2 linked regions of the Coturnix japonica genome follow. The protein of the gene in region 2 purifies or fractionates together with the protein of the main gene of each other region. This does not show direct contact. Links are inferred from orthologs where the notes say so. Each region holds a gene or a part of one and is shown on either strand. Other genes may lie near its edges.

Region 1 (2,871 bases), on a different chromosome or scaffold from region 2:
TGGAGGCAGGCAATGTGACCACACCATCATCACCATCACCGTGTTGTGTATGCACAGCAATTTCAGTGCAAAGTGCTGTGTAACAGCAAAACGTTCAACACTGAACCCTCCCTATATGGGCTGTCTAGAAGATCCTGGTCAGTGTCTGCTGGACTTGGGTGGGTACGGGCCAGGGAAGAGAGGAAATGAGTGACACAGATGAATTGGTACAGTAAAAGAATGTAAGCAGAGCTGCCCTCATCCTCATCCATGTGTCACAGATGGGGAAGATGAAGGCATGGTCACTGAGACAGCCAGCTGTGAGCACTCACTGGGAGCTGGGACAAGACTAAGCTCTGGTGGGCCCTCAGCACGTTGCACTCAGTAACAGGGTGGCTGTGTGCAGGGAATGCACTTTTTGATCTTAGAGGTCTATTCCTACAGTAATAGATGCTATAATGCAGACGAGGTCAGTGGGCACAGTGAGGGTGGGCTGGGTTGGCCTTGGGGATCTTAGGGTCTTTTTCCAACCTTAACAGTTCAGTGATGCTGTGATTCTGGATGAGAACTGAGAGCTCCAGAGCAGAGCTGAGGGGCCACCTCACACTCACGCACCAGCATTTATCTCCCCCATTTACAAGCACTTGAGACACCAATGGCTGGAGGCGTCTCCTTCCCAAGTGAAAGGCACACACCACTGTCACTGCTTCTCTTTAATTGCTATGGTGCAGTTCTCTTGCCATGGATGCTGTTGACTCCTCACTTGCAGAGCAGGGGCACAGGACCCACCTGCCCACTACCCCAGGCTGGCACACGATGCTGCATCCCTCACGGTGACCTGGTGGTGATGCTGGTCCAGCCCTCACAGCAGCAGCTCGTGGGGCATAGGCTCGCCCCGCAGGCCAGCCAGCAGGTTGTCAGCAGCCAGCACAGCCATGGTGCTCCGTGTCGCATAGGTGGCACTCCCGATGTGTGGCAGGATCACTGTGGGCAAAGAAAGGGTCACATCTGACAGACAATCCAAACTAACCCATCTATGGGTGAAGGCCAGCAGGCAGCAGTGCTCCTCCTTTCCACATCCAGACTTGGTACTCAGCTCCCTGCACAGACACAATGCGTGGCAGATGACAGAGAAACATGCAGAAAATCTCACACTGTGGCCTCATTACTGCACACCTCCACTCTCGTACAGGTACAAACCAATGCATACTGGGGCAACAGCCTGAGAACTGCTCAGGATATTGGGACCTGCAGGCTCCTGGGTGTGCTGGAAAGGTACGTGTGATGGCCAACAGCCCCTACAGAGTGCAGAGCTATGGCATGGTCAGGGCAGGGCAGGCTGTCCAGGCCCACATCCAGGCAGCTTTTGGTGATCTCTGAGGATGGAGATCTCCACAACCTCTCTGGGCAACCTGTGCCATTACTCTGACACCAGCAAAATGCAACCCACTCCTTTTAGGTAATGGTAAGAACCACGCCAAAGCTGCTTTAATGGCATGATTAGTACATCAGCAATGGCTGGGTACTTGCCCAAGCTAGAGAAAAGACTGCACTGCAGTCTCTGTCCATTTTAAAACAGACAGCACCTGTGGGGAGGGTGGAAACACAAAAACCTGACACACTGCTGAGTGAGGGAGGTGGGAATTGGCTTCTGCTCCCAGGTAACAAGATGAGGGGTGATGGCTTCAAGTTGTGCCAGGGGAGGTTCAGGTTGGATATTAGGACAAACTTCTCAGAAATGAAGTGGAACAGGTTGCCAAGGCAGGTGGCAGAGTCACCTTCCCTGCAAGTGTTAAAAAAACATGGTGATGTGGGACTGAGTGACGTGGTTTGGTGGGGATGGGTTGATGGTTGGAGGTGCTAATCTTAGTGGTCTTTTGCAACCTTAATGATCGTGTGATTCTACTATTTCAGAAATGGACATCCAGTCATGGGCACAACCACACTTTCCCCATTGACCTCCCAACAGTTTGTCTACTGAAGAGATTTTTCCTCATATAAAAATGTCCTTCCTTAACAGAGGAATCTTGCTGCCTTCTGCACCCTCATGCAGAATTTTGGTCCTTCAGATGAAGGCATATGCACAGGGTTTCAGATTTAGGTTGCAGCATGACCAAACCAAGCACTCAGGTGCACAAGAGGATGTTGTCCATCGGCTCAGAGCACAGGAGATTGCCCAGATGAAGCATGGATGGCTAGGTAGGAACAGGCACCCTGCCATGCTAACAGCAACAGAGCTGCCAACAACCAGAGTTACTCTTTGCTTAGAAACCAGTGTTTCCACTGTGTTCCATTTCTGCCTCCAGATCTGCCTTGCCTGTGACCGAGATTACGGAATGCAGATCCATCTGAAAGATGTTAAAAGACAAGCCAGTCTCAATTGCTTTCTGGACTACTGAAATATCTCCCAAGATTATTTTATCTTGCACTGACTCTCCACATAGCACAACTGTTGCCTAGAAGCTGCTTAAATGCACGACCTTCCTTTCTGCCACAAACACTGAAGCTCTTGTTCACCATCTGCAGGCCCCCAAGGAAATTAGCCAGCAGGTCCTCTGCCTTGACAACGGAGACGGCTCTCCAAGCAGGAGGGGGCAGGGCAGGGACCAGGGCAGCCAAACACACCACTCACCACAGTTCTTGAGTTTGAGCAGAGGGTGGTCGGTGGGCAGTGGCTCCGGCGTTGTGACATCCAGGCCTGCAGCTGCAATTTGGCCACTGACTAATGCATCATACAAATCTTCTTGGTTCACCACAGCCCCTCTGGAAAAAAAACAGGAAGATGGGCTTGCACAGCTCCAGTCAGGCAAGTCCCCACAGTCATCTGCACATCCATCCCATTGGGGCTGGACACACGGACACAGCCCTGGGCAGGGACAGTGCCTGTCCACA
Region 2 (3,710 bases):
AAACAAGGTATGATTTATAAAGTTTAAATTAACACTTGCCTTTGAACAGTCAAAGCAAGTTATTGGGTTACTGAGAAACAAAGCGGACATCTTAAGGAATTCACCAGGGGTGCACGTGTGATGCACGGCTGTTATTTGTGCGGGCTCCACGCCGTGCCTGAAACGTGGCCACGGTTTGTCTTGCCTGGTTTGTCCTTGAGATCTTGTTGTTCTGTTGTGTGAAGTCCTCAGGACAGTGGGGCAGCCAGAGGTGCGGGCCTTGGGGGGGATCTAAGTGGGATGATTGGGGTCAAACCTTGCATGTTTCCATCCCACCGCCTCATATTTTAGCCTGCTCTTAGGTGTTTCGTGGAGCAGGACTGGCTTCAAATCCTCAAATACCAGATATAGTGCTTTGTGGATCTCGGTCACAAGATGTTACCACCTCAGCTTTTTGGTAGCTGAGGACATGGCACTGCAGACTGGCTGGAGGCTGCTGGCCATGAGGCTGAAGAAGTCACCAGGACAAAACTTTGCAATCAAATGCTATTCTAATCAACAGAATTAGGCCCCAGTGTGGAACAAAAGGGGAGTTTTGGATAACATGGTATCTTTGTAAAGATATCTTGAGGGTAAATGTGAGCATAGAAAGATTTTGGAGTTTAGCCCCGAATGGTTTCAGCATGCGTTAAGTTTATGTTGCAGCCTTTAGCTGATGAGAGTGGCTCAGCATTTAGAAAATACAAACAACAGCAGCAAATGATTCATGGAGCTGCTGATAGGAGCTGGGCTCTAACGAGCAGCTCTCTGAAATTGCTTCCATCTTCTGTCGCATGTGCCATGAGCTCATGGTTTCTCTCCAGCCCATGGTTGGTAGGCGACTACATCGCCAATAAAAGTGACTGAAACCACTTGCAATGGGGCTGAGAGGGAGGTTGGGTGTTTTGGCTGTGCTGCATCACACCTGGGCTGCATCTTGGGGTGGCTTTTGGGGGAATACTGTGAAGGAGCTGGGGCAGCCTGTGCTGGGCTCCCTGCAATGCAGAGGGCGTTTGCCTGTCTGGGAAAGGCCCTTTAAAGAATGAATTGGGATGAGGGAGGTTGTTCGATAGCAACTTAATGAGGAGTTGTTTGGAGTCTGACAGTGTGAGTGCTGAATGGGAGCAAGGTGAAAGAGCAGCCAAAGAGACCCAGTAAAAATTGAAACAAACTGCGACCCGGCGGGACCAGAGTCCAGCAGCAATTAGAGTAATGCGACGTGACAGAATTCCTGCTTGCTTTCTGGGGTGTTTTATTCCAGCAATAAGTTGATACATCACATGGGACTCCTGTTTATTTAGCATTCCTCTCCATCACCTCTGTGCAGCTCTCAGCTGTGCAGGGCTGTGAGGATAATTTACCACCGCATCCACAATGTGGGGTTTGTGTCTCGCACCGCATGGCCCCAGCTGATTCTTTGGGGGGTGAAATGGTGGCTCTGGCCAACTCTCTCCATTGGCAGGTGTGCCCCGGCTCCTTGGGGTTTTGGTAATACTAACCTGGATGTTTTCCAGAGCCCAAAGGATAAAACCCAGAAGCTGTGCATTGAGCCCAGCACTGAGCTAACCAGGCAGGAAGGTGTAGGCTGGATTGGGTGTGCTCTGGCTGCTCTTGGATCCCACACTGAACTCTGGTGTTTGGGGCTGGGTTGAATTGATCTTCCTGTGTGAATGAAGTCCTCACGCTGCTGCCCATGTGTTTGCCATGTTCCCCAGCACCCTGCAGTCTTGGAGCCGTTAGGGTTTGGCTTCCTTAGCGAGGGCTGGCATTTCTCTTGGTGCTCAGCCAGTGTCTGCACCATCAGGGTATACTGATTTGACAGACAACGAGTGACAGCTGCTCAGAGATGCTGATGGTAGTTCTCGAGCTGCTCCTTTGCATTTGCCTATTTATTTATTTATTTATTTCAATGACCTTTTTAGTGCACATTCCCCATTGCTTCCTTGGGAACAGAATGAAGGATCTGTGAGTAATGAGTGTGTCTTAAAGGGAACTGAGTGTTTTATTTGGGCTATAGCTGAAAGCAGATGATATCTTGAACTGCTTTAACAACCCACAAGCATCCAGCTTGTGAAATGCCTTCCATTTGTGGAGCTGTACTACTGCCAGCTTGGTGGAGGAGCGGAGGTGAAGCAGAGCTGTGCTCAGGCTCTGGCCTGGCAGGAGGAGGACGATGTGACATGTCTGTGCTGTGACTCTCTGCAGGCTCTGACCACATCCGTGAGAAGGATGGGCTCTGGGCTGTCCTGGCCTGGCTGTCCATCCTGGCTGCCCGCAAGCAGAGCGTGGAGGACATCATGAAGGATCACTGGCAGAAGTATGGCAGGAACTTCTTCACCAGGTGAGGAAGTGCTCCGGGCACCTCGTCCTTCTGTCCGCCCTGTGGCCGACCAAGGATGAGCCCTTGTGGAGGAGCTCAGTAACCTGAGCATCAGCAGCACCAGCCTTGCTACCACAGCAGTTTCTGCCTTGTTGCACTTGCTCTTTCTGTGGAGTTTCAGTGGTTTGAGGCTCCCTGTCTGGTTTGTGCAGCTTCTCTGGGTCCAATAAACCTGTGGGTATTCACCTTAACCTTTCATGGCGTCCAGTTTAGAATTTGTTACTCTGAATACAATTTATTCAGTATCAAACTCTGTGAAGGTTGTGCAATTCTTATATCCAATAGGTAAGCTTTTTTGTTTTTTATTTAATAGAGATCTTTTCTTGCAAGAATTTTTCCTGCTTTTAGAACAGTCTGCTTCTTTAGTTTACATCATACAAATCGGTTTGTAATATCTTGAGTGATGGCTTTGCCTCACTGAATGGGCACCCAGCTCCTGGGCAGCTTTTTACCTGGTTGGATTTCTTTCCAGTTCCAAAATACTCTTTAATTTACTCTACTATAGACACAGGAGATGAAAAAGCAGAACTGACCTGCACTGAGCAGAAGAGGGGGATGCTACCTGCAGTGAGAGCAGGAGGTAGAAATCTTTCACTTTGGCAGACCTCTGTGAAATTTCTGTTTCCAATTGCCAAATGTAAGAACCTGCCTTTTCCTTTTTATTATTTCCATCCTACAAAGCCAGCATACATCTAAGGCATTTAAAGCTACGGAAAAAATGCCAAAATCTAGTATAAAAAGGTAGTCTTCAAGCACCAGAGGTATGTCTGCATAGCAGGCTGGGTGCAGTGGCAGGCCACTAACAAGCCTGTGCATGCTCTGTCTGGCTAGGTGTGCAAATCACACTGGCAATCGGAGTACCAGGTCTCAGGTCCTCGTCTGTGCATGTGCTGGAGTGGCTGCTCTTTCTGCTTCTCTTACTTACGTTAGCTAGATCAGAGCTGGCACTGACTGTTATCATATGCTGCAATCACACCTTTGCTTTGCTGTGGGGACACACTGAGGTGCTCAGGCAGAACTGTTATCAATCAAGAGGAGCCTGTTGAGATCCTATCAGAGGAATTGGGATAAATGCTTTACAGCCAGTGTTGCTGGAATCTGGTCCTCCATCTACCTCAGTCTTAGATGTATCTGAGATAGGTTGCTGTGTATCCCACAGATTAGTGCTGCACCCACATACCGCTGCGTATATCCTCTCCTTACTTCTGGTCCTTGTCTCCAGTATGAGTAGAAAACATGGGGCTGATCATATCGTTATTAAACAAGGACATAGCAGAACACTGCTGCTAATTACAGACCTTCCTAATCTTTG

The links. The genes of interacting proteins can lie anywhere in the genome.
Region 1: the proteins of PGM1 (region 2) and GRHPR fractionate together in Homo sapiens (co-fractionation; 3 studies listed by BioGRID). This does not show direct contact. The link is inferred for Coturnix japonica from reciprocal best matches to the Homo sapiens genes PGM1 and GRHPR.

The regions. Positions count from the first base shown.
Region 1 is NC_029547.1:66,763,154-66,766,024, forward strand, and holds the end of GRHPR (glyoxylate reductase/hydroxypyruvate reductase), read right to left. Parts: intron 2,743-2,871; coding exon 2,612-2,742; intron 964-2,611; coding exon 842-963; 3' UTR 678-841; downstream 1-677. UniProt on the Homo sapiens protein: Enzyme with hydroxy-pyruvate reductase, glyoxylate reductase and D-glycerate dehydrogenase enzymatic activities. Reduces hydroxypyruvate to D-glycerate, glyoxylate to glycolate, oxidizes D-glycerate to hydroxypyruvate.
Region 2 is NC_029523.1:25,079,131-25,082,840, forward strand, and holds part of PGM1 (phosphoglucomutase-1), read left to right. Parts: intron 1-2,223; coding exon 2,224-2,359; intron 2,360-3,710. UniProt on the Homo sapiens protein: Catalyzes the reversible isomerization of alpha-D-glucose 1-phosphate to alpha-D-glucose 6-phosphate. The mechanism proceeds via the intermediate compound alpha-D-glucose 1,6-bisphosphate.